6 linked regions of the Sus scrofa genome follow. The main gene of each other region encodes a partner of the protein of the gene in region 6 in a complex. Links are inferred from orthologs where the notes say so. Each region holds a gene or a part of one and is shown on either strand. Other genes may lie near its edges. The genes, in order: NELFE, NCBP2, NCBP3, PPARGC1B, PHAX and NCBP1.

Evidence for each region.
Region 1: the proteins of NCBP1 (region 6) and NELFE are in contact, whole or in part, in a crystal structure (PDB 5OOB), measured with the Homo sapiens proteins. The link is inferred for Sus scrofa from reciprocal best matches to the Homo sapiens genes NCBP1 and NELFE. Residues at the interface, in NP_002477.1 of Homo sapiens: Tyr461, Lys511, Lys557, Ser558, Ser560, His561, Ser564, Lys568, Ile609, Arg610, Gln612, Cys616, Lys647, Met648, His651, Glu705; in NP_002895.3 of Homo sapiens: Arg362, Ile365, Val366, Tyr367, Ser368, Asp370, Val371, Tyr372, Gly379, Phe380.
Region 2: the proteins of NCBP1 (region 6) and NCBP2 are in contact, whole or in part, in a crystal structure (PDB 5OOB), measured with the Homo sapiens proteins. The link is inferred for Sus scrofa from reciprocal best matches to the Homo sapiens genes NCBP1 and NCBP2. Residues at the interface, in NP_002477.1 of Homo sapiens: Glu32, Cys36, Leu71, Thr74, Val75, Arg77, Leu78, Leu79, Ser324, His325, Trp326, Lys327, Glu328, Arg329, Lys330, Ile368, Val370, Met371, Thr374, Glu378, Asn415, His419, Ser422, Asn423, Gln425, Lys455, Arg458, Leu459, Ser460, Tyr461; in NP_031388.2 of Homo sapiens: Gly4, Leu5, Leu6, Lys7, Leu9, Arg10, Ser11, Asp12, Ser13, Tyr14, Glu53, Glu54, Gln55, Tyr57, Glu58, Leu59, Lys62, Ser63, Asp65, Lys67, Ile69, Tyr89, Asn96, Arg99, Tyr100, Asn102, Gly103, Thr104, Arg105, Leu106.
Region 3: the proteins of NCBP1 (region 6) and NCBP3 are in contact, whole or in part, in a cryo-EM structure (PDB 8BY6), measured with the Homo sapiens proteins. The link is inferred for Sus scrofa from reciprocal best matches to the Homo sapiens genes NCBP1 and NCBP3. Residues at the interface, in NP_002477.1 of Homo sapiens: Lys330, Ile377, Glu378, Cys380, Lys381, Pro384, Pro388, Gln389, Ala392, His420, Asn423, Phe424, Gln425, Arg427, Trp428, Ser429, Glu431, Asp432; in NP_001107590.1 of Homo sapiens: Glu572, Asp574, Glu576, Leu577, Gln578, Ala580, Trp581, Gly582, Leu584, Ile585, Lys588, Glu589, Arg592.
Region 4: the proteins of NCBP1 (region 6) and PPARGC1B are in contact, whole or in part, in a crystal structure (PDB 6D0Y), measured with the Homo sapiens proteins. The link is inferred for Sus scrofa from reciprocal best matches to the Homo sapiens genes NCBP1 and PPARGC1B. Residues at the interface, in NP_002477.1 of Homo sapiens: Glu26, Asp29, His30, Ser33, Leu34, Lys37, Val38, Lys41, Ser42, Ala43, Cys44, Asn49, Gly52, Leu53, Val56; in NP_573570.3 of Homo sapiens: Tyr1006, Glu1007, Ala1008, Met1009, Asp1010, Phe1011, Asp1012, Leu1014, Leu1015, Lys1016, Glu1017, Ala1018, Gln1019.
Region 5: the proteins of NCBP1 (region 6) and PHAX are in contact, whole or in part, in a cryo-EM structure (PDB 8PNT), measured with the Homo sapiens proteins. The link is inferred for Sus scrofa from reciprocal best matches to the Homo sapiens genes NCBP1 and PHAX. Residues at the interface, in NP_002477.1 of Homo sapiens: Cys380, Lys381, Pro384, Pro388, Gln389, Leu391, Ala392, Thr395, Phe417, His420, Leu421, Asn423, Phe424, Gln425, Arg427, Trp428, Ser429, Asp432; in NP_115553.2 of Homo sapiens: Ile114, Asn115, Asn116, Ile117, Trp118, Gly119, Val121, Leu122, Glu124, Gln125.

What each region holds. Positions count from the first base shown.
Region 1 is NC_010449.5:24,043,512-24,048,451, forward strand, and holds the start of NELFE (negative elongation factor E), read right to left. Parts: upstream 3,422-4,940; 5' UTR 3,314-3,421; intron 2,875-3,313; 5' UTR 2,867-2,874; coding exon 2,792-2,866; intron 1,090-2,791; coding exon 1,020-1,089; intron 919-1,019; coding exon 773-918; intron 164-772; coding exon 89-163; intron 1-88. UniProt on the Homo sapiens protein: Essential component of the NELF complex, a complex that negatively regulates the elongation of transcription by RNA polymerase II.
Region 2 is NC_010455.5:133,176,476-133,180,830, forward strand, and holds the start of NCBP2 (nuclear cap-binding protein subunit 2), read left to right. Parts: upstream 1-1,690; 5' UTR 1,691-4,355. Other genes in the region: PIGZ (GPI mannosyltransferase 4), read left to right, coding at 48-1,609. UniProt on the Homo sapiens protein: Component of the cap-binding complex (CBC), which binds co-transcriptionally to the 5' cap of pre-mRNAs and is involved in various processes such as pre-mRNA splicing, translation regulation, nonsense-mediated mRNA decay, RNA-mediated gene silencing (RNAi) by microRNAs (miRNAs) and mRNA export.
Region 3 is NC_010454.4:49,887,463-49,891,774, forward strand, and holds part of NCBP3 (nuclear cap-binding protein subunit 3), read right to left. Parts: intron 3,770-4,312; coding exon 3,615-3,769; intron 1,874-3,614; coding exon 1,712-1,873; intron 482-1,711; coding exon 246-481; 3' UTR 1-245. UniProt on the Homo sapiens protein: Associates with NCBP1/CBP80 to form an alternative cap-binding complex (CBC) which plays a key role in mRNA export. NCBP3 serves as adapter protein linking the capped RNAs (m7GpppG-capped RNA) to NCBP1/CBP80.
Region 4 is NC_010444.4:150,917,023-150,921,334, forward strand, and holds part of PPARGC1B (peroxisome proliferator-activated receptor gamma coactivator 1-beta), read left to right. Parts: intron 1-757; coding exon 758-858; 3' UTR 859-4,312. UniProt on the Homo sapiens protein: Plays a role of stimulator of transcription factors and nuclear receptors activities. Activates transcriptional activity of estrogen receptor alpha, nuclear respiratory factor 1 (NRF1) and glucocorticoid receptor in the presence of glucocorticoids.
Region 5 is NC_010444.4:129,712,017-129,716,801, forward strand, and holds the start of PHAX (phosphorylated adapter RNA export protein), read left to right. Parts: upstream 1-1,626; 5' UTR 1,627-1,820; coding exon 1,821-1,916; intron 1,917-3,427; coding exon 3,428-4,041; intron 4,042-4,785. UniProt on the Homo sapiens protein: A phosphoprotein adapter involved in the XPO1-mediated U snRNA export from the nucleus.
Region 6 is NC_010443.5:239,501,984-239,506,295, forward strand, and holds part of NCBP1 (nuclear cap-binding protein subunit 1), read left to right. Parts: intron 1-1,706; coding exon 1,707-1,863; intron 1,864-3,923; coding exon 3,924-4,031; intron 4,032-4,312. UniProt on the Homo sapiens protein: Component of the cap-binding complex (CBC), which binds cotranscriptionally to the 5'-cap of pre-mRNAs and is involved in various processes such as pre-mRNA splicing, translation regulation, nonsense-mediated mRNA decay, RNA-mediated gene silencing (RNAi) by microRNAs (miRNAs) and mRNA export.

The sequences.
Region 1 (4,940 bases), on a different chromosome or scaffold from region 6:
TCTAGTTGCTGGCATAGAGCCCAATATGTGGGTTTGTCATTTTTCTCAACCCCCAGCCCCTGAGAGACACAACACTGGAAACCATTACCTCCTGTAGATCGTCGTCGGCAGATATACTCCGCTGGAACGGCTGGAAAGTGGGGACTGGCCCCTTCTCAGGGTCCTGGGAAGGGGGTAGAAACCTGCCTCAGTGCAAGAGCAGGAGGCTGCCTAACCCTGGGACAGAGGGGCTTCCTTTTCCCTCCTCCACTTCTTGGCTCCCCCGGCCTGTCTTTTTTTCTTTTAACTCTTTTATATGTTTCTTATTTGACTATGTGTTTTTTTTTCATAAATAACTTAATACACACTTAAAGCATGTAAGTTATCTAAGAATGTTCTGGAGTTCCCTGGTGGCCTAACGGTTAAGGATCTAGTGTTGTCACTGCTGTAGCTTGGGCCATGTGGCATAGGTTCGATCCTTAGCTTGGAAATTTCCACATGCCATGGATGTGGGCAAAAAAAAAAAAGTCTTGGATCTGATGACATTTCTATCTCGATTCAACTTCTCAGAGTATGAGGTGGATTAGAGCCAAAGAAAGTGTAAAATAAAGAAGAATCTAGGAGTCATCTAGCTCCTTCATTTTCGAGGTAAGAAACCTGAAGCTCAGAATGGCAGAGCAATTGCCCAGGACTGAACCAGCATTACTTTCCCCCTAAACCTACCTCTGTTCCAACTTGGCAGGATCCCTCTGAAGTCACGGATGCCCTGAACCATCTTTCTCCCTGTGCTCACCTTTAACTTCCCCTCTAGAGTTCGAGAACGTTTGAAGCCCGAGTTCTTGGTCTCGGCCTTGATGGCACTGATGGCTCCTGACTTCACCAGCTGCTTTGCTTGCTCAGTTGCTGTGGCCGTGTCCACCACGGGCTGCTCTGACAGAGCTGGAGTGGCGGGGGAAAGAGGCTTTGTGTTGGCCAGGCTGTGACAGAGGTCGGCCTGGGCTCCTCACTTCCGGTCTATCCCCACTTCCCCTGTCACTCACAGCGTTTGACACCACCTTGGCTGGCAGTGCTGCTGCTGCTTTGCTTCTTCAGAGCCAGCAATGCCTTTTTCTGGGAATGAGAGTGAGAAGAGAGGGGTCAGTGAGGGCCAGTCCCTGCCCAGGTCCTCTCCCAAGGCCCCTGGGCACATCACTCCAGGGGACAACTTTCTCAGAGAAAATAATGCAAATGGTGCCCCTAGAGTGGCACACTGAGGCAGCCCTGCCTCTCACATATGGTCCCCCAGAGCATCTACAATGCTAACAACACCTAATCTATTCAAACCACAGTATCCAGAGGCTTTCCAGAGTCTCACGTTTCTCAAGTCGAAGACAAGGGGTTTAATCATAGACCAGAGTCTGCAGATACAAGCTGCAATTAAGTGTAAGTCTCCATGCCTTCTTGGGGGCTTCACCTGTCCGCCCCCTAAACGTTTAATCAGAAAGAGCATCACTAGGAATTTCTGTAACAGGTCTATGCAGAAGTATGAGACGGAAATCCTCCCCTCAAGAAGCTTAGAGTTTGAGAAATAAGATGACCAGACTAAATTGTCAAGACTGATTAAAGAAGTGTAGACTATAGCTGAGAGCAAGTAAGACCTTCCTGATGCCCACATTAAACTGAGCCCTGGATAGAATCTACAATAACATACAGAAAAGAAAAGGCATTTTAGACAAAGAAAACAAGGCGGCAAAGATGCAGAGATAAGACTCTGGGTGTGTGTGTGTGTGTGTGTGTGTGTGTGTGTGTGTGTATGTGTGTGTGTTTTGGGATTAAGGAATAGTTCTTTTTTTTTTTTTTTTTTTTTGTCTTTTTGTTGTTGTTGTTGTTGTTGTTGCTATTTCTTGGGCCGCTCCCTCGGCATATGGAGGTTCCCAGGCTAGGGGTTGAGTCGGAGCTGTAGCCACCGGCCTACGCCTGAGCCACAGCAACGCAGGATCCGAGCCGCGTCTGCAACCTACACCACAGCTCACGGCAACGCCGGATCGTTAACCCACTGAGCAAGGGCAGGGACCGAACCCGAAACCTCATGGTTCCTAGTTGGATTCGTTAACCACTGCGCCACGACGGGAACTCCCAGGAATAGTTCTATTTGACGAGGAAGGGCTGCCAAATTAAGGCTCTTTTATAGACAATGTGAAACCACTGGCTTTTGAGAAAAAGAAGGACAGTGTTTTCTGTTTTCAAAGCACCATTTTAATAGAAGTAAAAAAGTCTGTCGAAAAAAGAAACTTGCTGAGAGACGATTACAACAGTCTAGGTGAGCATCAGCAAAGGCCTGACTGCGAGAATACACAGGAAGGAGTAAACAGAAGAAGTTACTTCAAAGGAGGAATCAAGACGACTCGGCAAACATTTGGCTACGCAAATAAGACAGAGACGAGATCTGGATTCCAAACAGCGGGAGAAGTGAATGGAGTCAGTCCTATTTGGAAGACCAAGATTAGAATAGGTAAGACCAGAGCGGCAATATATGAAGGTTATTGGCAAGATACAGATGGAACTAAAAAAAACCAAGCCTGGGATCACCAGTTCTTAGGTGGTACTAAAAGCCGGAGGAAAGGAAGACACCTCCATGGCAGACTATACAGAAAAGAGAGAAAAGCAAGTATCCACCTTGAGAAAGTCCACCCATGAAGGGACACTGAGAGGTGCCATGTCTCTAGGTATGAGCTAGAAGAACCCCCACCCCCCCATCCCCTCACACTCACCCCAGGTGTTCTCAGTGTAGAGTCTTTGAAAGTTTGGGCCATGCCCACACACACTCCCTCACCTTTTTCTTGAGTTTGTTGAATTTCTTCTGCAGAGCCTCCTCCTCCTCGCTCAGTCCGGGGGGTATCACCAACATGGTGGCTCCTGGTTCAGGGGCAGGGCCCAAGACATCTTTCTCCACTGTCACCGCCCAGGGGTCACACGCCGTCCACACTGCACCCAATCCCACCCCTCCAGGCCTGCCTACTCCTGTCTTTTGCCTCTCCCTACCCCTTGCTTAAACCAGCTGCCGTCCAAGCCCCCGCTCGTCGGGATCAACCAGCATTCCCTTCTCTCTCCGGGAATCACGGATACCAGCGCCTTGGGGCACCACGTAGCCCAGGAAGGGAGAAACACCCCCTCCGTCGCGAAGACGATGGCACCAGACCCCCCCTACCTCGCTGGGGTTAGTATGGCATTCGCAGGGTCCGAAAAGCAGAGGAGGCAGTGGAACCCGCGCAGCGCTCTCAGAGCAACGAACAGGGCAAGAAGAGAGAAGGAGCTCGGAAAAAAGGGGCGAAGGGTGAGACGGAGAAGGCCTTACCTGAGGGGGCGGCAACCGGAGCCCCACGGTCTCGGGCGGCGCCCGCGCGGGCAGCGGATCGCTGGCTCGGAGCGATGACGTAGCGAGGGGCGGAGACCGCGGTAACCAAGGCGGCTCGCGGCGCGCACACTTCCGTCCGGCCTCCCACCAGCTTGGGTTCCGCCCCTCGGTAGTGCTCGTCCCCGCCCCCAGCGGGGTGTGTTCCGGAAGTCGCCGCTAGTTCCGCGGGTTTCGGCTCCTCCCTACACTTCCGGGCTGCCCGGCAGCTACCGTGGCTCCAGGATGATGGAGACGGAGCGACTCGGTGAGGGGGCAGAAGGTGGGAAGGAGGAGGAGACAGGGAATGACCCTTGACCCCTGACCTGTGATTTTCCTCCCATAGTGCTGCCTACCCCAGATCCCCTGGATCTGCCCCTCCGCGCCTTGGAGCTAGGATGTACCGGGCGCTGGGAGCTGCTGAATGTGCCTGGGGCTCCAGAGAGCACCGTGAGTGACTTTTAGCTCTAACCTAACCTTGACCCTTATTAATAGGGCTTAAAACCCCTTTCAGCCTTCTCACAGTAGGGTCTAACCTGACCTGGCTCACCTGTCTCTGGACACCTGTCATCCCAGCTTTGGACTGGTGCGGGATGGATCCCAACCCAGTCGACCTGCAGTGCGTCAGAGCCCATGAGAAGACAGAGCAGGGAGCCCTGGGGATAACTTTAGCTCTGAGAACTGCTCTTTCCAGTGGGTCTTTTCTCCCTGGCATCTTCTTCTGTCTCCAAGCACCAGGGCACTTGTTGGTGGCTGATAGGTCAGCCCTTGAGCACCTTCGGTTTTTCATCCTTAGGTCTGGGGCTCCTTTTCCTAAAACTAGTGATTATCAGAATCTGTGTGCCTCATGATTAGAGGGGGAGCTTTCCTAAATTAGAAATTCTTAGGTCCATCTCCAGAAATTCTTTAATCCAAAATCTATATTATTAAACAGCTCTCCAGATAATTCAGTTGCAGGTCAGTTTTTCCTATAAAGTAGGACAACCTTTGGAAACTATTGCTTCAGCCTAATTGTCCTAGCCTGTATGGGACACCTACCATTTCTGATCTAAACATGAAGCCCGTCACCATCTCTTTTGTCTGTGTCTTACTCTCTTTCCTTGCCTCATGCCTCTCGTCTTGCCCTGTTCCAGCTTCCCCACGGCCTCCCACCCTGTGCCCCAGATCTGCAGCAAGAAGCAGAACAGTTGTTTCTGTCCTCTCCAGCCTGGCTGCCTCTGCATGGTGTGGAGCACTCAGCCCGGTGAGGAGTCTAGAGGGGCCTGGACTAGGGGAAATGGGTTCCTGAAGGAAGTTGAGACAGAGGAGAAAGAGCTGAAAATTTCTTTCTGTCCAGAAAATGGCAGAGGAAGATGGATCCCTGGTCTCTCCTGGCCGCACTGGGGGCCCCAGTCCCCTCCGACCTGCAGGCCCAAAGACACCCAACCACAGGCCAGATACTAGGCTACAAGGAGGTAAGAGGTCAGGGGCCACAAGAAGCAGAGTTGGGAAGTGGGGGGGGTGGGGTGGGGGGGTGGCGGCCGGAGCGGGGGGTTGTCAGAGGCCAACTCAGCCTCACTGGCGCTCTGATCTCTTGCCTCAGGTCCTGCTA
Region 2 (4,355 bases), on a different chromosome or scaffold from region 6:
TATTCTCTGAGCTTGGACCTGGCTCACCTCTGCTTCTCTCTCTGCAGAGGACATCCTGGGCATAGAGGCTGCACGGCCCTGGGAGTTTCAGCCCAGCAGCCCCTGCCGCACAGTTGTCTTCCCACTGCTGACCTCTGGTTCTGCCTTCTGGCTGCTCAGGCTCTGGGAAGAGTGGGGGCCTTGGCCTGGCCCAGTGAGTGGCTATGTGCTGCTGGTGGGGCCCCGGCTCCTCCTCACCACCCTCTCCTTTGCCCTGGACGTGGCCGTGTACCACCTGGCCCCACGCTGGGGGGCGGAGCGCTGGAGCGCCCTGGTCCTGCTATCTGGTTCCTACGTCACCCTGGTCTTTTACACAAGGACCTTCTCCAATGCCATCGAGGGACTGCTTTTTGCGTGGCTGCTGGTGCTGGTATCCCCCCGTGTAGCTGGGAGCCCCACACCTGAGAAGCCTGCTCCAGGCCCGTGGTGGCACAGCTGGCTTCTTGGGGGCATTGTGGCTGCTGGCTTCTTCAACCGGCCCACCTTTCTGGCCTTTGCTCTGGTCCCCCTCTTCCTCTGGGGTACTTACGGACCTACAAGCCCCAGCTTCAGGTCGCTGACCAAGGAAGCCCTGGTGCTGCTCCCAGGGGCGGCCCTCACGGCAGCAGTGTTTGTGGCTGTGGACAGCTGGTATTTCTCCAGTCCATCGAGACCCAGAACCCTGATCCTTACACCTGCCAACTTCCTGCGTTACAACCTGGACCCTGTAAACCTGGCGAGGCATGGCACACACATGCAGCTCACTCACCTGGCAGTCAATGGCTTCCTGCTCTTTGGGGTGCTGCACGCCCATGCCCTGCAGGCTGCGTGGCGACAGCTGCGAGCCTGCCTCCAGGCCTTCGCAAGGGTGGGCTTCCTAAGAGCACTGGATGCCTGGCGCCTGCAGTCCAGGTCTCACCTCCTGCTCATCTACTTCACACCCCTGGCCCTGCTGTCTGCCTTTAGCCACCAGGAGGCTCGGTTCCTGATTCCCCTCCTGGTCCCCCTGGTCCTGCTTTGTAGTCCACAGACCCAGCCTGCACCCTGCAAGGGCACCCTCGCTCTCTTCAATGCCCTAGGGGCCCTCTTCTTTGGCTGCCTGCACCAGGGCGGCCTCGTGCCTGGCCTGGGGCACCTGGAGCGGGTGGTTCATGCCCCTGTGCTCCCGCATGTGTCCACCCGCTACACACTCCTCTTCACCCACACCTACATGCCCCCCCGGCACCTCCTCCACCTCCCCGGGCTGGGGTCACCAGTGGAGGTGGTGGACATGGCTGGCAGTGAGGACTGGCTCCTGTGTCAAGCCCTGAACAACTTCACCAGACAACCAGCCTGCCAGGTGGCGGGTGGGCCATGGCTCTGCCGCCTTTTTGTGGTGACCCCTGGCACCACCAGGCCTGCGGTGAAGAAGTGCAGCTTCCCCCTCAAGAATGAGGCGCTCATCTTTCCCCACTTGACCCTGGAAGACCCACCAGCCCTGTCCTCCCTGCTGAGTGGGGCTTGGAGGGAACATCTGAGCCTTCACATCCTGGAGCTCGGGGAGCAGCCTGACAATATGACAGCAGATCCACTGGCTGGGACTCAGCCATAGGTAAAGGCGTCTCTCCACCTCCTACCTGGGTGGCTGGGCTGGGACAGAGCCCTGATTCTCCTCCTTTCCTTTCCCTTCCAGAATTCCCACCATTGCCTCTCCTATGCACAGCCTCTGACCACTCCGCCTTCTGGGGAAACTGATACCCCATTTCCCTCAAAGACCAAAGAGAGGACCAGTCACAGTCCTGATGCCAAGGGCCCCAAAGAACCTGGTATAATCAATAATGCCAAATGTCTGTTCCTGCCCTACCCCTTCCAGTCACTGTGATGTTGAAATACGTAAATAGCACCTGGTTGTGAAAGGAGACAGCAATCTCCTAATGACGTCCTGAATGACTTCTCCCAGCCCCCCTAGGATGCCTTAGCTCTTGCTGTCATGACAGCCCTTTGGCCTCTTTCTCCTGGAAGGAGGCAGCATGGTGATGTAAAGAGCGGCGGACCTGGTTGCAGGCCCTGGTCTGCTCTTGCTGGCTACATGGTAAGACAGCCCCTTCCCCTCACCCAGCCTCAGTTTTCATCTCTACAGTGGATCAGAGGGTCTTTGAGGTGTCTGCCCCCCAACACTGTGTTGTTCCTGGGCCTGCAGCGCACATCCCCTGGCTAGATGGGCATGTCTCTCCCAAAGCTCTAAGCAGAGAAGTGGGTGTGGTGTATCTAACTGCACTTCGGTGCCTGCTGTCTCAGTACTTATTACCAAAATGAGTAGTTCTGGAACGCCCCTGGCCGCCCACTCCTGCAACTCTCTTCTTACTCGTGTCCCAGAAAGAGGTGGTAGGACATTTCTGTATCTCCTTTGGGGATCAGGGAGCCCAGATGTTCTCCCTCCTGGGTCGGCCCCAGTGGGAATGAAGACATAAGGCTCAGTATCTGGTGGTGCTTGAGCACAAAACCTTAAACGTGGTCTGGTCCCTCTCCAAGCCCCCAGCCCCTGTCTGAAGCCCCTTCACAGGACGGAGAGCGAAGTCCATACCAAATCCACGCCTGCTGCCTGGTAGAAGCCATCACACCTGGGCACATCGCTCCCCAAAACACAGCCCGCTGGGAATGTGAGAAGTGGTGGCACTAAGCTTGTTCTCGTTCTCCCGCCATCTCATGAGAACAAGAGGCAACCAGGCCGAGAGGAGGACGCTGGAGGAGCACAGGCAGGAGACACACTTGTGCAAGTGACCAAACCTGAGTGCTTTTCTAAGTCTGCCTTTTGCTAGCTAAAGTCTTGGGTCATCTTAAAGGCCCTCCTAGGCGGGCTGCTCTGCAGCTACTGCTAGGGTTCTAGTGCCACACCTTCCTTGGGACTCCAAGGGAAAGAAAGTCAGTGCCATGCTGGTCAGTGTTCTCTGGGGGCAAAACAGCCCTGATCTGCAGCGTTTGTGATTTCTGTGGTGTAACACGCTCACCATGGCCAATTGTTAACTACTAAAATGATGTTACTGAACTAAGCTGGGAGGAGACGCCAAGGACCACACTTGTGGATATTTCCCTCTTTAGTACCCGTTCAGGATAATTCATTGTTCTTGTGGTTCACGTTTCTGCTAGCAACTTCGGATTTGTCTCACCTGTAGTGCTTAGCATCATCTCTGGCACCTGATAAGCACTTGTTTACTTTGCAGCCAAAGAAGGCCTTTCTGCCCAACATTTAAAAGCCAAGTGCAACCTGGAGATCCCCCAGACTCTGTTTCAAATTCCTCTGGGCTTCTTGGGACTTCTGTCTCTTCCCTCCCCCAGTTGGGTTCACGACCTCAGAATTCCCTGGAGGTGCTGTTGGTGTAACAGCTCTTCCAGATTGTAGTGGTCTGAGCTCTAACAAATTTGTCTGTAAAGTGTTGGTATCGAGACTTGTGTGGCATCAAGGGGTGATTAGGAACTGCCCTGCAGGATAGTGGAATGAGTTGCTTCCCTGCTTCATTTTCTGGCAAAGGTTAGAAGAGCCTGGAAGGCATGCTGGGAGATGGTTGCCATGGGGAATGGTGGGAAGAATTTGGTTTCTTTAGTAATAGGGTAACTGGTGGGATGACAAGCCGCTGACTACAGACACTGGACGCTTCTCTAACGAAGAGGGGAGGCATCCAAACCCGATGGAGCAAAAAGGACCCAGTTTTCTTTCTGCTCTGACTCCTACCAAAATGGAGGGAACTTGGTTCCTACACTCTTCTTCCACAAAAAGTAAACAACTGTTCCTTCTCTTGCCTGCCTTCCTTTCCTACAAAATGGCCAGTTTGCCCAGAAGCGTCATTGGTCCCTGCACTCTTCTTTTTGTCTCTGCCGGTCAAGACCCAGCTGCGAGTGTGCTTGTTTATGTTGAGGGCTGGGGTTGGGCTGAGGACTGCTAACATTCTGTTGCTCTTATACCCAGATCCAGAGAATAGTGAGTGGGACTGCCTGATGAGGCACACAAGGCAATAGAATGAACAAGCTCCCTGGGCTCCTTGCTGACAAGCTCAAAGGAGAATCCAGTGAGTTGCCTCTGGTCTGGGGGAGGGAGCACAGGAGGTGGGATGCCAAGCTAGAAGTTGGGTCCTTAGGAGAGTGGGACACTGACCTCAGAGAGGATTAGACAGAAGCACCTGTGATGGGAAGACTGGAGGGTGGTGTGTCAAATCAGAACTCTGACCATTAGGAAAATGGAGAACAAGCTGCTCTCGTTTCTCTGTGATCAGGGTAGTTAGTTCTCTGGCCCTCTCTACCTCCCTCTATGCCCATCAGAAAAACCAAAGTAAAAATTGTTTGGTTGCCAGCCTAAAAGCTTC
Region 3 (4,312 bases), on a different chromosome or scaffold from region 6:
AGGGTAAAGCTTGTGGGGCGGCGGGAAAAGAACCGAGGGCCCAGAACTATAACATCTGCAGCAAAAGATGAGAGAGATGCCCTTCAAAACACGTCACATTCTTAGGATGTCCTGCTGATGGAGCAAGAGCGGGTGTGACTGTGTAAGACGAAGGGCGCCAATGCCCGCAGGCAGGGGTCCCCCTGCGCGCCCCACCCAGCGCAAGGACGGCAGGCTTTGGGGCAGCTGCCTTGGCTCCAACGGCATCATGACTCTGCCTCTGAACCAGAGCTGCTTTCCCGACTAACTTCAATCTGGAGAGATGGTAAGTTATCTAACCGGCTCTTCTTTTGGCGAGACTGTTCTTTCTCCTTAATCAGAGCCCCCCACGCCCTCTGCAGCTCCGAGTCATCCTCCTCAGTGCCGGGCGTCCTGTGATCCACTTTCTTCGTGTTCTTTTCTTTGGTCTTGGTTGCAGATCCTAAGCGAGTCCATAAACTACCTGTTTGGGTGAGAAGGCATTTCAGCTCTGGTAGTCGATGCTGAGAAACAGGGCTACTGTCAACACCTGACATGCAAGAAACACGGGGGGATCTGTGGCACTTGCAACCACGATGCAGACCTGGGCAGACGGCCTCATTTCTCTGGTGCGGTGTAGACCGAGGGGACTGGACCCAGCAGGAGACTCTCACGGCTTGCGGATATGTGCTTCCCACGCTAGCCACACAGAATCGCCTGGGAGCCTGCTTATGCTACACCTGCCCTCTCCCGGGGAGACTCCCCATGCTGTGCACAACTTCATTCTGCCAGGAGTGGGCCATTCCAGATCATTCCCAGGTAAGACTTTGGGCAAACTGACAGGCCTGCATGCTCTCTGTAAACTTTCAGATTCTGACCACTCTTCATTACTTTTTTTTTAATTTTATTTTGTTCTGTTCTTTATCACTTTATTTATTTGGGCCACACCTGTGGCATGCTGAAGTTCCCAGGCCAGGGATCAAACCCGCACTACAGTAGTGACTAGAGCCACAGTGGTGACAAAGCTGGATCCTTTACCCACGGAGCCAATAGGGAACTCCATTATTTAAAAAATATTGATATTTAATAGAGAAATACATGTTTTGAATTCCATAGGATAGTCACACTCTAAGACAATTTAAAGTTTTACTTGTAAAGACAACAACAATGTGGAAAAATGACTATGATAAGATGATACAGGAGTTTCAGTTGTGGCGCAGCAGAAATGAATCTGACTAGTATCCCCGAGGATTCGGTTTGATCCCTGGCCTCGCTCAGTGGGTCAGGGATCCGGTGTTGCCGTGAGCTGTGGTGTAGGATGACAGCTGATTCCACCCCCTAGCCTGGAAACATCTATATGCCATGGGTGTGGCCTTAAAAAACAAAAATAAATAAATAAATAAATAGCTTAAAAAAATGCCGCAGGAACAGAGCAGGACATGTATACAGGCAAAGACTGGAATAGCATCTATGAAACCATGCGCTAAATAGAAAGAATCAGGGGTGGGTTTTCTTTTTCTCCATTTTCTGTATTTCCCATTGTTATCATTACGATGATGGCGTGGATGACAATGATTATAACGGAAGAGGAAAAATAATTTATTCTTGTCTTACGCTCTTTCCTGCCTTCTGACAGCGAGTGTTTCCACGCTCGCCCTCGGTGTCTCTGCCCTGACCCAACTCCCACGCCCATCACTTTCAAGTGTTTACCAACCTGATTTCTTCTCCCGAGTATCCGAGTAGAGGCCTTTAACGTCTTGCCTGGGAACGCCGAGCCTACTATGGACATCAGAAAAGGGCTCTCTCCGAACGACCGGATTACTACTAAAAGGCTTTTCTGGAGAATATGGTCTTTTTCCTAATCGCTGGCGTATATCTACAAAAAGAAAACACAAAGTACTACGGTGGCCACAGGCGTATGCGTTGCTGTCTGTACTCACCCCGAGGTCTCTACAGGTCCTGGTGCAAATCTCCCCGAGTAAAGGCATGGGACCCGACACAACCAAGCTTCTAAGAGCCTTCCCTCTTCACAGTCAGCCTGGACCCACCCCCCCAGCAAAACTCGAATGAGAACCCCCAGGGGCTCAAATAGGGAAAAAAATCTAGGCCAACTGCTCCAGAAAGGAATTTCTGAGACAGAATAGACTGCTTTCTGTGTGTGTGTTTGTTTTTTAAAAGTAGAATCAAGCATGGAATTCCTGTCGTGGCTTAGCGGTTAACCAACCAAACTGGTATCCATGAAGACATGGGTTCGATCCCTGGCCTTGCTTAGTGGGTTAAGGATCCGGCGTTAGGTCAAAGAAGAGACTCAGATCCCACGTTGCGGGCAGCTGTAGCTCCCATTCGACCCCTATCCTGGGAATCTCCACATGCCATGGGTGCGGCCCTAAAAAGACAAAAAAACAAATAAATAAGTAAAGTAGAATTAAGCAGAGCAAATAGTTTATAAACATTTCAACTAACAACAAATACTGCGAGCTCCCTCAGGGTGGAAGCTGCAGTCTTTAAACATATAAGAAGTTCTCAATAAAACTATTACATTTTACAATAAATGTAATGAGCCTGACAAAAAGCAAAGGATCAAAGGAGTATGTCCCAAATGAGATTGGTTTGTCTTGTAACCACTGCCTCCCACCCCCGCCTTCGGTCCAGGAAATCTGCCTGTCCCCTGAGCTCCCTCTCACAGGAACAGCACAACAAAAAGGCAGACAGGAGTGGCTGTGCTGGCCTTTCACTCATCCTGCTCTCTGAGAACAGCGTCCCCGTCTGCCAGCTGCTCAGGCCTGAGCCCCTTGGCTTCTCTCCCTTTCCTGCCACACCTCCCAGGGCCGAGTCGTCTTCCTTGACACGGTGTGCCGTTCCCATCAATCCTGTCCCCACTGTCCCTGACCTAGGTCAGGCCCTTGCTTCTTACTTAACTCTCTATTGCACCCTACCCTGCCACCAAGTTCTTTCTGCAACAGAGAGAACATCATGTTACCACCCACCTCAAAAAAATCAGGTTGGCCAACTGAGAGCCTACGTCCTCTGCAAGGCCTCGCTCTACAGCCACGACCTCTGAGAAGCCTCCCGCAGGAGATCTTCCCCCAGGTGGCCGACCGCCCCTCTCTGCTCCCACAGGCCACCGCTTACAGTGTCCCCCCCTCTGCTCTGGGTGTAATTATCCGAATGGGGGCTCTACTGCTTTCCATCTGCGTTCTGATGATGAGTTCGCACCCCCTGCAGAACTCTGACGCTCCTGGCACCTGGCCCTGGCACACAGCGAGCAGGGCCGAGGATTCACTATAAGCCTGTTTGCACATATAAACTAACCAGTTCAAATGCTTAACCATTTACACCGCAACCCAACTTAATTTCTACTGTCCTTATGTATAAAGTACACCAATGACATACAGGGTAGAATAACTGTTTGGGACAAAAATATTGAAAGCCAGTACTGCAAAGGTCTGATTAAATTTCACGTCCTAAAATCCCAATGCGTAACCTAAAATTTAGAAGTGATTAACAGCACAACTAAACTGGTCCACAAATTATAACATTTTATCCAAGAATCTATCCCTGCCCCGAATTCCTTTCTGGAACTCAGAATGAAGTCCAGAAACACAACGGAACAATACCTGTTTTAGTATTGCTGCTTGGTGGCCGTGGACGTGTGTGCTGACGTTTTTCATCTAACAAATGTCGGACATCCGCAAATTTCTCAGGCGGTAATTTGTTACCAATTCGGTTTTTTATATTGCTTGTGGATAGAGTGTCTGCCCTCATGGAGTTCCTTGAAAAAAAAAAAAGGGCGGGGGAGGGGCCCTCGTAAACCAACTCGGCTGTGGAATGACACGAACACGACAACCCACACACGGTGGAAGAAACCTCATCCGATACGGCCGACATTCACTTACAAACACCGCACACCACTGACTATTCGCTTACAAAAGTCACGATGAGCCTGCTGTAAAGAGGCCGGCTGGCGTGAGCAGATCCCTGAGTTTTCCGGAGTGGTTTCCACACGCGGTATCTGTGAGCGTCCACAGAGCAGGTAACCGCGAGTCCCCTTCTCCTGAGACTAACGCCACGGAGAGGCCGGCAAAGGGCCAGAGGCCCCTGCTCGCCCGGACTCTGATCTGGTTGTGGTCAAGACACAACAGAGTCTACAATCCCTTTCTCTAAAAGGCAGACGTCTCTGTCAAAGACCCCTCCCACTGTGTTAGGGGACGAGCCTTACTCTGGCAGCCATCGGGAAGTTCTCTAAAAACTGAAAGTGAGCATGTGAACAAAGCCATACAAACAAACCAGCTTCACAGTGTTTTCTTCCCTTTTC
Region 4 (4,312 bases), on a different chromosome or scaffold from region 6:
CTGTGCTGATGGAGGCCGCCGTCCCCACCTTCCTCCGGCCTCTGGTCTGTCTCGTCCTGGGCCAGGACTGGTGCCAAAGAGATGAGGCCTGTGGGGGCCTCTGGGAAGGGCCAGTCTTGTGCTCCCAGCGCCCTGGCGCAACCATGGCCCCTGCCCCCCTGGCCGCTCGGGATCCTGCGGGACCCTGCCCCGGGTCCTTTCATGGGCTGCAGTGCAGCGGCCTTGTCCCCGCGCCTTCTCCTCTTGTGGGGACAAGTCGGCGAAGAAGGCGAAGCACCCTTTTGGAACGAGCTCTCTGTGGGAGGGGTCTGATGTCACGTCCGTAGCACAGGCCTGAGTGTCGGGAGTCCTGGGGGCTCCAGCCAGGCCTGGCTCCCCCTGACCGCGTGTCCGCCCCGGGGACCCAGTTCCACAGCCACGCGACAGGGCATCTCAGCTTCATGGGGGGCGGGGGCTGCCTTCTGTGTCCTCCGAGGCGTTTTGCCAATGGGCAGGAAGGGGGGGGGGGTGCGGAGGATATCGGGCCGGAGAGGAGCTCTGTGGGCCCTGGTGCGGCCTCTCTCCATCCTGCCAGCGGGGCGGCCGCGGCCCTGACTCGCCCGTGACACGGCGCAGGGCCCCCGGCAGGATGGCGGAGTCCGCACCCGCTGCCAGGTGCCCCGAGTTCCCTGGCCGCGTCCGCTCCGTGAGGCTGGCCCTGGTGGCAGGTGTTGCCGGCCACTCTCTGTCGCTCACCGGCTCCTCCACCCCCGCCCAGATGCCAACTCGGAAGAGGCCCCGCCTGCATCCGTGAAAACCAAGTACGAAGCCATGGATTTCGACAGCTTGCTGAGGGAGGCCCAGCAGAGCCTGCACTGACAACAGCCTTAACCTCGAGGAAAACCTCAATACCTCAGATGGGCCCTTCCAACCTGTTTACGCTTTCAGAGAAATTAAGGACATGAGACGGAGCGAGAGCGAGCGAGAGAGCGAGCGAGCGAGAGAGAGAGAGAGAGAGACACGGGGAACTGCTGTCCTTTTAAAAGAATAATCAATGTTTACATTGAACAAAGCTGCTTCTGTGTGAGTTTCCACGGTGTGCACGCTCCACTGCCACATCAGCGTCCTCGCTTCCCACGGGCTGTCCGGGATGCCCTCGCCTCCTGACCGACGGCCCCTCCTAGACGTGCAGCTGTGTCCGCCATGCGTTTCCGTCTGTAGTGCGTGACGAAGTCGTTACTCGTGAATAGAATCAGGATTATAAACTCATTTTTAATTGAAGAAAACAAAAGTATATCCTTTAAGTGATGTGTTTATGGCTCAGGTGTCCTGTGCCTGGGATCGTCCTGTTGCTTCCTTGATTTTTAACTACGCACTGTCGTGAGATGTTTGCCACTCAGCTGCCCTGCTCCCTTGGCCAGAGGGCCCCAGAGGTGCTGGGGGGCCGGAGGGCTGGTCGCCGGGGAGTGTGGCGTGCAGCCAGCCCAGGAGCCCGGGAGGGGTTTCAGGGCCTCTCCTGCGGGCCCTGCCTCGCGTCTCGTTGAGCGAGCCCGGGTCCGCGTAGAATCAGAGCCCTCGTCTGGTGCCCGGCTCTCGCTGAGAACTTGTGCCTGGCCCTGAGGGCTCGGATCCTCGGGATCTTAGGGAAGAGGGGGGTGAGGCAGGAGGCTGGTGACTTTTGCCCCGGGGTCCCCCGACCAGTGAGATTACAGAGCACTGGCCCGGCCCAGGAGCCCAGGCCTCCCGATCGCTGGTCCCAGCCTCCCTCAGTAGCTGGAGTGAAGAAGCGGGGTTGCAGGGCCTGGCAGAGCTGGGGCGGCCAAAGAGGACCACAGGCGAGACGCCTGCAGGCTCACCCTGGGGCGTCCGTCAACGGCGGTCTCGTCAGCACGGGGCGAGTTCAGGCTCCGGCACCAGCCTTGATCCAAAGGGTCCTGCCGTCCGCCTCCAGCTGTGGACCCGCCACCAGGGCTTCAGTGACGCCGTGGGCGTGACGCGGACAGATCTGGGAGCAAGCCTGGCTTCACCCCTGCTCACACGGGTCGTTGTTTGGGGGCAGGGGGCACGGGGTGGGTGATAAGACAGTCTCCAAGCTGATTCCCGGACGGTCTGTTGGGCTTGACTGAAGGTTCGTGTTCTTGAGTGACGTCGAAGCCGCGTCCGGGGTGTCCCGTGGGTGCCTTGGGGGTCGCCTTGGGGCAGGCCAAGCGAGCGTGTTTCTCTGCTTCAGACAGAGCGGCTCCAGGTGCATCTCTTTCACGCCCAGCTTCCTCGGGAAGCTTTTGTGTGTCCAAGAAAGAAGCAGAACGGTCCTGCCGCTTTTCTTTAGAGTTTGAACTGACTCATTAAACAAAAACTAGCTGATTTAATCCATTATTAATACCGGGCCTCGTTCTTTGAGAATTGGTCGTTATGGGGCTTTTTTGGTTGCTTTTTAAGATTATAAAATACCTCAGTAGCTTCACTGGGCTGATACGCCAGGCCCCCCGAGGAGGTGGAGGAGACCGGCCTGGAAGGGGAGTTTGAGTTCCTGTGCATCAAACCACAGCCCCTCTGGGCCCCAGTTTTCTTTGCTGTGCGATGCGCGGAGGCGGGGACAACTAGCCCTGCCGGCTCTGACAGCTGAGCGTCCCACGTGGCACACGTACCTCCACTCCCACATCCTTGCCAGTGGCAGACATAACCAGTCGGCCCCAGGCCTCGCGTTCTTTGAGCTTGCTCATGCTGTTGGGACCTCGGCTCTGTGCTCTGAGCAGCCGTCCCTGATTGGTCTGCAGTTCCGCCTCTTTCACGTCCTGGTCTGATCTTTGAAAGGTGCCTGTCTTACAGAGCCATACGGTGGCCGGGTGTCATGCTGGCCCATTCCTCTCTGTCACATCCTGATCTGTGGGAGAAAGTTCCTTTGAAGCCATTCCTTGGCCCAGGACTCCCAGCACTACTCTGCCACGTAACCCCACCCGGGGATGGGAGCCAGGTGGGAGAGTGGCCATAAGCAAGTTTGGGAAGGCAGCGTTTGTCAGTTTGTCGGGATGGACCAGAGGGGGCTTTCCACGGCACGGGCTGAGCACTCTCAATTCCTGTTCCAGCTGCTCACTGCCTAGCATCCAGTAGGCGTACAATAAATGGCTGTGGACTAGAACTTCAGTCCACCCGATGCCCCCTTAAGGTCTGCTCTGCATCGGCAGTAAACTGAGTCTTTGTCGCGTGGAAGCTCATGGGGACGCAGTTACACGCAGGGTCTGGAGAGCTGGGTTGAGTCCTGGCTCCACCAAGAGCTGCCTCTGTGACGTTGTGGCTCGCGGTGTCCCTTCCGCTCGTGGAGCCTCTGTGTGTCACAAGGAGACGGAGCGCATGACCTCTGCCCCGCGCTGGCTCGTCCTGATGGCAGCGCGGCTAGATGGCAGTGGAGGGTGAAGGATGCGGATTTTCAGGGAGGGACGAGCATCGCAGGTAGTTAGACTTTGGCCTTGAGCAGAGCAGAGATCTGAGGTCGCGCTGGGATGGGAGGAGCCCAAGGTCACGGCCGGCCGGGGCCGCTGCTAGGGGAGGGCGCCGGCCGCGGGCACAGAGCGGCTTCTTCCCGTCGTCTGTGCATGAAAGGCTCTGCCACGGCCCGGGCCTGCGGCCAGCCTCCATCTGGAAGACTTACTCGGTGCTGAGTCTCCCTCACCAAGGAGACTCCAAGGAAAGCTCGGCAACCATGGCCTTTGTCCCCAGACGAAGGGGTGGCCCGAGGGAGCAGCTGCCACTGGCAGCCGTCTCGGTGTGGCTGTCTGTGCTAGCGTTTGCTCGCCGTCATGTGTACCTGTGACTTGCCCTGAAAGCCTGCAGTAGACTGTGTGGGTAGCGCCCCCACGAGGAAGCCTGTACCGTCGTCCTGGGCCGGGCAGTATTTTCAGCTGCTGAGTGGAATTCTTCCATCTCCTTCCTCAGCCGCCACGAGGCTGGATCGGATCCCTCTCCAGGGCTCTGGTTACCCAAGGAAAATGCATCACGGCGGTGGAGCGTGAGCGGCTGGAGAGCAGCTGAGGCCCCCGCTCCCTGACCCCGTCACCCCATGTCCCCCCAGCACAGCTTTGCGACATAGCAGCAGTCAGGTGTCTGCATCGGCTGGGCGCCCTCGAAGCCTTGGGTGTGGAGCGCACCCCGCAGAGAGCCGGGCCTTTCCGGGGGCAGGAAGGGAGGGTGCCTCCGGGCCGCACAGGCTGCGTCCCCAGGTCCGATGCAGGGAGAGGGGCGGGATAGGAAATCTTTCTCACCTCAAGCCTGTGCTTGTGGCTGCTGTGGTTTCTTCGAGCTGATGCCGTCTGCGTGCTGAGGGCGGGGGAGGCGT
Region 5 (4,785 bases), on a different chromosome or scaffold from region 6:
GTGTAACCTGTCAAAATAAATTGGACCGGATAATTTCAAAATTCCTTCACAGCTTTTAAATTCACATTTCAAAAATCGAATTAAATCTTTTCCATAGAATCTAGAGACATATCCTAAGGAAATAATAAAATAAGTCTGTAAAAAGACATGTTAATTGCAAAACTGGCTACACCTTAAACCTACATACTCCATCAGAGACTAAATAAATGATGCTACCTGCATGCAATGGAAAACTAGGGAGTCATCTAGGGAGCTAAATGAGTGCCTGTTGTGGTGCAGCAGGTTAAGGATCCAGTGTTACCACAGCTGTGGTGTAGGCTGCCGAGCAGGCTCAGAGCAGGCTCAGATTCAATCTCTAACCATGGGACTCATATGCCTCCAGCACAGGCAAAAGGGGGGGAGGGGGTAGATCTTTATATTTTGATATAGAATAAGTCCAGAATAAGCTGCTATATATATATATTTTTTTTTGAGGGGGGGGTTGCGGGGTTGGGGAGGGGCTTCCATATGCTGCAGGCCTGACCATAAAAATAAAAAAAATAAAGAATAGTAAAGGGTACAAATAAGATCCTCTTCATGCAAAAAAAAAAAAAAAAAATTCAATGAATATTTCTTGACCATCTTTATATACAGGAAGTCACCTGACTGGACATAGGTGGGAAAAATAGTGAATAAAGCAGACATTTTAGTGGAACTCAGACGAGAAAGAAAAATACACATGGCAATTGATGCCATGAAGGAAAAAAAAAAAAGAGGCTGAGAATGACAGTAGAGGACTCTATTTTAGCGAGGGTGGTCAAAGAACACCTTTTATTAAAAGGTGGCATTTATTTGTTGTGCACCTGAAACTAATACAACATTGTAAGTCAACTACAATAAAATTACAAAGAACAAAGGTGGCAGGGAGTTCTCCGATTGTCTAGCGGGTTGAGGCACTTGTGTTCTCACCACTGTGGCTCTGATTGCAGCTGTGTGGTTGTAGGTTCTATCCCTGGCCCTGGAATTCCCACAACTGCCTGGGTGGCAAAAAAGAAAAACGAACAAAAAAACCAAGAGAGAACCTGAAATGTTGCACTCTCATTTAAAAAAGAAAAAAAGAAAAGAAAAACCGGTGTTATTTTATCAGAATTCTGAATCATCTGAGAGCATAACCTAGGTAAGAATAGGGTGTCGGGATGTTTGAGCCTCTGCCAGGCAGAGGGAACAGCAACAGCAAAGGCCTTGGGGCGGCGAAAGGACAAAGGCTGCCTGAGGAACAAGAGCGTGAGCAGCGACAGTGTGGCTAAAGAGCCGCTGGGGAGGGACACCAGACTGAGGGACACACCTGCAGCCCTGCTGGCTGTGCAGTGAACTCAGCGTGTGGGGGAAAGCCCTGGAAAGTCTGAGCAGGGCGGCGACCTCACCTCCCGTTTGGAAGGCTCTCCAGGAAGCTCCACGCAGAGTGGATCTCAGAGGAGCAAAAGTAGAAGCAGGAAGGCATGCACAGAGCATCCAGGTGAGCGTTGTGAGGCCGAGGAAGGAATCCCCCAAGGCTGCCATCCGCCCGCAGGTTTAGGTTACAAGGAAACAGGTCAGAAGAAAAGGCGCCAGAATGCTGGCGCTGCAGGGCACTCCATTTTCCCAGAGTAGCGCCAGGGAACGCTGTGCAATGACGAGGCGACATCTGCGAATCCCGACCCAGGCGTCTGGGCCAAGCCCCCACCGGCCGCCGGGGCTGCCACAGCCCCCTCGCGGGGGCGCCCGAGCAGCCGCCGCCCGCCGGACCCGCCCGCCGCCCCGCCGGAAGTGCTCTCCGGCCCGCTGCGCGGCGCCGCGGGAAGATGGCGCAGGAGGCCGGCGACATGGAAGATGGGCAGCTTTCCGACTCGGATTCCGACATGACGGTGGCACCCAGCGAGAGGCCGCTGCCGGTGCCGGTGAGTGCGGAGGACGGCCGGGTGACTCTGGGCTGGGAGGGCGGAGCCCTGGCTGCGAGGAGCCGCAGGCGGCCCTCGGCGCGAGCCGGCCTGGCGGGGAGGGTGAGGGCCCGGCGGGCGTCCTCCGGCCCGGCGCGCGGAGCTGAGGAGTCGGCGGCGCGCAGAACCCGGGGGGCGGCGGCGGGGGTGGCGGCGGCAGCGGGCCTTCTGAGCCCCGCCGGCATCTCTTTGCAAGGCGGGGCCCACGAGGTGTGCGGCCTCTTGAGAGGCGGGCGTACGACCATCTCTTCCCCGCCTCGCGTGATCCGCTCCGCGTTTTCTAAACCTACAGGCTTCCCCACATCGGCGCCACTAGGTTCTCCCAGACGGGCAGATTTTGCCCAAGGTATAGAACTGGAGGACATCGGTCCGCAAACAGCTTTTGGCGCTCCTTTTCGCCCTGAGCAGATAGGGAGTGAAGACCTGGGGTGAAGTTCATCACCTGCTCAGGGGCCTGGTCTTTCATATTCCCATGGAAGACTATGGAAGCTCCGTTTTGCCATAATGTGGCACTAGGTTTTGTGTTAGCTTCCTAGTTTTCTACGTAGGTGTTTGTCTTTACCGCCCTACTAAGTAGCAAGCTCTTGTGGTTCTAAATGCCTGGTTGCCCGCTTTCAAATTCTAGCGCCGCCACCGGGTGATGGGTATTTTAGCCGGTGGCCCCATCTTTAGAATAGGAATGATAATAGTATGGCACTGATAGGCTGTAAGGTTTCAGAGGAGCCTGAGTAATGGCCGACCGGGGTTAGTGTCATTATTATTTCAAGATTAAAAGACTTATTTTCTTGACCTGAATCTCCCCACTCCCACTTCTAGCATATAATAGGAACTCAACAAATTGTTTAACGTAAAGGTGATTGCTTTTGCATAGAAATGTCTTAGGAAAATCGGTACCAAGATATTTTTATTTTTCAATCTTTTAGTTTATATTGCATAGATTAACCCATGACTTAGTGAACCTAATGCCATGAACTCTGCGGTTTTAAAAGTATTTTGTCAGAAATTTCTACCCATAGAGGAGTTTATTGTCTAGTCTGAAAGAAGCATAATTACAAAACCGTATAAAGTTATTGCTGTGTCCAGGTGCATGGCAGGCATCTTTGGAAAGAAAGAAAACAAATTCTGTTTTAACCGCTATTATGATTACTGTCTAAGACAATTTCAAATGACATACTGACAATAACTGAGAAGATTAAAAATCTTCTAAAGGTGAGAATTGAGCTTTGGTAATTTTTAGAAAGAGGCCTTAGAACTAAGTGCTGCATTAGCTATGGAGAAATAAGAATTTGTGGCTTTAAAAATGAAAATTACTTGTAGACCTTTAGAAATGCAAGGACTAGATTGGTTCAGAGCTCTTCGAGGATGATTTCTACTTCAAAATGGTCCAGCCACCTCTCTAATTTTTTTAGTAGCACACAGTGAGTGGAGTTAATGTGTTTTGTGGAGTTGATTGTATTTTCTTTGACTTGCAGAAAGCACTAGGTGGGGACTGCGCAGTGAGGCCCTTCCCGGGTACTGCAGCAGTGTGTGCGCCGGTATCACATTATCGGACTGTGAAAAGTGTGGATTCAAGTGAAGAGAGTTTTTCAGATTCAGATGATGATAGCTCTCTCTGGAAACGCAAGCGACAGAAATGCTTCAATATTCCTCCCAAACCAGAGCCTTTTCAGTTTGGCCAGAGCAGCCAGAAACCACCTGTTGCTGGAGGGAAGAGGGTTAACAACATATGGGGTGCAGTGCTGCAGGAACAGAATCAAGATGCAGTGGCCACTGAACTTGGTATCTTGGGAATGGAGGGCACTATTGACAGAAGCCGACAATCCGAGACCTACAATTACTTGCTTGCTAAGAAACTTAAGAGGGAAGCTCAAGAACATACAAAAGAATTAGACAAAGAGCTGGATGAATATATGCACGGTGGCCAAAAAACGGGATCAAAGGAGGAGGAAAACGGGCAAAGTCATCTCAAAAGGAAGCGACCTGTCAAAGACAGACTAGGAGACAGACTAGAAATGAACTATAAAGGCCGATATGAGATCACAGAGGATGATTCTCAAGAGAAAGTGGCTGATGAAATTTCTTTCAGGTGAGCATTTACGTTTGGCTGCAAGTGAGCACTTGACCAACTCTCTTCCATTTGTAGGGAATTACATGGATTCCAAGTATCTTGATGATGGGTGTTCCTTTTTGAGATTTTAAAATTCAAGGCGTGAACACTGAGCTTACATGGTTATATGCATATATTTGGGTGTTTTTAAATTTGGACAGACCTGATAGAATAATTTTGCAGGTTTTTATAAACTTTTTGGCAACTTTTTCCACTTAGTGCAATAGAACTCTTTGAGTAAGACACGTCTCTCTTTTTTTTTTTTTGCCCTGCCTTTGTCCTATGCCAGTTCCCAGGGCAGGGATCTTTAATGCCTCCTCCACCGGGGGAACGCCCAAAAATGCATCACTGATTTTAAATCAGTGAGGATGTTGGAGTGTTATCAAGCATTCATGACTTTTTTTTAAAAAAAAACAACTTCATTGAGGAATATTATAGATAATTGAGTTGTAGCCTCTCTTCCTTCTGGTGTCTGCTCCCCTTGTGGCTGAAGTTGGTGGGGGGCAGGGCTTGCTGTAGGCTTCCTGATGGGAGGGACTGATGCCGCCCACTGGTAGGTGGAGCTGATTCCTATCCCTCCGGTGGGTGGGGCTTTGTCTCTGGGTGGATTAGAGGCGGCTGTGTGCTGGGGGGGTCTTTAGGCAGCCCGTTTACTGATGGGCGGGGCTTTGATCCCACCGGGATTGTTGTTTGCTCTGGGACTTCTCAGTGCTGATGGGTGGG
Region 6 (4,312 bases):
GTCACTCAAGTAATGGCCCTTCTTAGAAGACTTGAAAGTGCTTTTGAAGCTATGACATAATAAGTATGATTTTTCTCTGAGTTAGATGAGCTAGAACAAGTATTAGTATTTAATTTGTAAGGACATTACAGTAGGAAAAGTCTCACATGAGATCATGAAATAGTCTCCCTTAGCAGTGGAATTAGCAATCTAGACTTCCTCATCTCTCCGGTTGACACGGATCACTCTAAACTGTATGCTTTGTGAAGAAGTAGCTATGACTTCTGGATAAAGAAGTCTTCATTATGAAGGTGGCTTAAGTTGTTATTTCAGTTGTTCTTAAATAATGTGCTTTTGTTTTGTTTTTTCCATTGCTTACAGCTCAATTTTAATTTAAAAATGTACACACGAATTGAAACTAGCAGTGGATTTTACCTTTTTTTTTTTTTTTTTTTGTCTTTTTTGTCTTTTTAGGGCTAGATATGTGGCATATGGATTCCCAGGATAGGGGTCGAATCACAGCTGTAGCTGCCAGCCTATACCACAGCAACATGGGATCTGAGCAGCATCTATCACCTACACCACAGGTCATGGCAACGCTGGATCCTTAACCCATTGAGCAACGCCAGGGATGGAACCTTCATCCTCATGTATAGTAGTCGGATTCATTAACCACTGAGTCACAACGGGAACTCCTCAGATACAATTTTTTGAAAGAATCCAGTCAGTATTCAGTAAAACATGTCCTTAGGCTAGAAAACTACTAAGAAGAATTACTTTACTGTAGTTATGCTTAGATTCCTTCTGTTCTGAAAGCATTTATTTGAATGGAGTATATTTATGCTTAAACTCTAAGGGAAGCCATGACTGAGGTGGGGAAGGGTAAAGATTGAATGGTTACTATTAATGCAAGTTATTTTTTTTTTAAACCTAAATTGTCCTTAATACTCATGCTAGGAACTTTGGGAAAACACAAAGTGTAGGAGATTCTGAATGATCATGAATTCATATTTGCTTTTCTTTTTGAGCTAATTTCTGAAGACTGCCTAAATTAGGGGTCAACATTACCTTTTTCTGAAGTATGACTATAATCCTCTTCTCTATTTTTCACATAACTTTAATGAAAATTAACACTTAAGTAAGCAAACTGGGATGTAAAGACATCTTACTACATTGGGTACCATGTTAGAAATTCAATAATTTAACTGATAGAAACTGGGTTTAGTTCTGAATTTTTTCTAAGCAACTAGAGTAGTATTTCTCAAAGTGGAATTCTGATCCCATGACAGTTGGTCTGCGAAGTTTAGAAATTTTGTATGCTCTCTCTCCCCCTTATTGATTCTGCATTGAGGAAACTTGTTTCACAGCAATTTCCAGGTATTTTACCATAGAGACCATTTTCTGTAGAACTGCTATTCAGTTCCACTAAGCACATTGGAAGAAAAACTAGTCTAACATTAGTTATATCTTTAGTTTGATGACTTCACAATTAAGAGTGTTTAACTTTCTTAACTTGTGGATTAACTAGAATTAAAATGAAAAATTTGAGGGGGCCATATCTGCAACTCTATTCAATATTTATGCCTTTTCTGAAGTAGTTTTTAAAATATAGCTAAATGTGATGCTTTTCTAAAATTATAAAAATGATAAAATTTATATAATGTAAAATTCAGAAACTTAATGCTATTGTTTTGGGATCTTCTTGTTGTTCTGGGTTCTCAAATTAGTGCACGTCTGTTACCTGAGAAGTTGACAATTTATACAACACTAGTTGGACTGCTGAATGCCAGGAATTACAACTTTGGTGGAGAATTTGTAGAAGCCATGATTCGTCAACTTAAAGAATCGTTGAAAGCAAACAATTATAATGAAGCTGTATATCTGGTAAGTTTTTCGGTTTGGGAGGCTTTTTTGATATGATATGTTAGTGTTGGAATGGAGGGAAGAGGTGAGCTACAACCAAATAATTTATCTTTTCTCTTGAAATACAGTTCCCCACTCACCACAACAGCTGCCCTTTTGAAACCATTCTCATTAAAGGTACAGAGCTCATTTTACCAAGTCCAGTGACTTTTTTTCACTCTAAATCTTGGTTGACCTTCCTGCAGCATGTGATGCTTTGTACTGCTTTCTTAGTCTCGGTTTTTGCAGCACCTCCTTTTTCAGGACCTCGTGCTGCTACGTACCTTCTTTTTCTCAGTCTCCTTTTACTGGAGCAGCTTCCTTTGTCCCTTAAATTTTTGTCTTCCCTAGGATGCTGTCCTCACTGCATTTTCTTCCAAATACTCTTTCCTAAAGCATTCTCATTCTCTCTCATAGCTTCATAAACTACCTTTATGTTGAGGACACCCACACACACCCACACACCCCAAATCTGTAATCTGTATCTTCACTTCAACCTTTCTCTTGAACTCCAGACCTATGTTCCAAATACTACCTGGATAGCCCTAAGGTATCTTGCCTGGAATTCCCTGAATTAATGAATTATTCATATCTTCTTTCCTCTGTCCTCACCCCAACCTGCACAAATGGCTGCTAGTTACTGGATAGTCCATCGAGAAGCCGGAGCATTCGTTTTTGTCTTGCCTTTGCCCCCTCTTACTCCGAGCAGTCCCCAAGTCCTGTCTAGAGTTCTTCCTCCAGTCAGTCCCTTCTCCGTTGTCTCCAGGGCCTCTAATATAGTTCATGCCTTCCTCCTCATGTCTCAGTAGCCTCTTAACTGATCTTTTTACATCCAGATTCTCTACCTTTCACTTTATCTTCTACAGTGACACCAGAGTGGTCTTTCTGTAACAAGGTTCTGTTCGTATTGGTTACGTGTTAAAAACCTCAATTCCTTCCCATTGTCTACAGAGGATGGTTTTCAAAGCCATGAACAAGATGATGCAGGAAGTAACTGTTAGAACTCTTATTTATCTTAAATGGAAATGGAATTAAGCCTTATTAGTTGTATACATAGATTGACAATGGGCCAGTGTATATTATAAAATATATAATATATATGTTGGAAGTATGTGATCAGATTCTTTTCTGTTGAGTACACAAAAGAATTTAGACACCCATCAGGCTATAAGGTGAAGTTCAGATTCTTCATTAAGCCTGACCCTCAGTGGTTGCACTAGTCTGTTTCTGTTTGCCTCCCATATATCCTCCAGCTGTATCAGAATATTTGCAGGTCCCTGCACCATGTTTTTGAACTTCTCTGCCTAGACCCTCTCCTTGCTCCCCGCTGGAGGACAACTTTACTCATTCTGTATGACCTAGATGGATTGTTACTCCCTTAAGATGTTTTCCCCTCTCTCTGTATCTCTGTTTCTAGAGCACTTTTTAATTTATCCTTTAGTATAGGATTCATCCTTTTGCGTTGAGATTTGGCTTGTCCCACTAGACTATTAGCCCCCATATGACAGAGACTCTAATATGCTCAGCAGTGGCACACAAAGGACACCCAATAAATATCTTTTCATGAATTTCCATTTCTGTTGTCCAGTGAAAATTTCCTTCACAGCCAAACAGCAAAAGTTGTAGTAGCTAGAATATTACAGTTTAGGTTCTTATTCCAGTATAAATGTGAAGCTATCAATGCACAGACTCCTGTCCCTCCTGTAGTCTATCACAGCTACTCAGCTCTGCTATTAGAACATAAAAGCAGCTGCAGATAGTATGTAAATAGATGAGCATGGCTGTGTAAAAGTTGATTTGTGGACACTGAAATTTACTTTTGTAACTTGTGTGAATCAGAATATTCTTTTGGGTCTTTTTCTAGCATTTAAATATCTAAAAACTACTCTTAGTTCACAGGCTGCTTAAAAATAGGCATTGGGCTAGATTTGGCCCTTGGGCTATAGTTTTTCAGACCTGTGGTTTCAACCTTTACGCAATTGCTTGTTTTATAATTACTATAAAGGGCATTTACATTTAATAGAAATTGTTTTACCCAACAGGTCCGTTTTTTATCTGATCTTGTGAATTGTCATGTCATTGCTGCTCCATCAATGGTTGCTATGTTTGAAAATTTTGTAAGTGTTACTCAGGAAGAAGATGTGCCTCAGGTAAGAAGACCCCTTATGCTGCTTCTTGTCCATACAGTACCAGGTATTTTCTCTTTAGTATGGAATCTTATCCATACAGTACCACGAATTTTTCACCCTTTAGTAATTAAAAAAACCCAAAAGATTCACGGCAGGTTATCACATTATAAATTCTTAACATCTAGGAGTTCCCATTGTGGCTTAGCGGAAACAAACCCCACTAGCATCCATGAGGATTCAGATTCCATCCCTGGCCTCACTTGGTGGGTTGAGGATCTGAAGTTGCCATGAGCTGTGGTGTA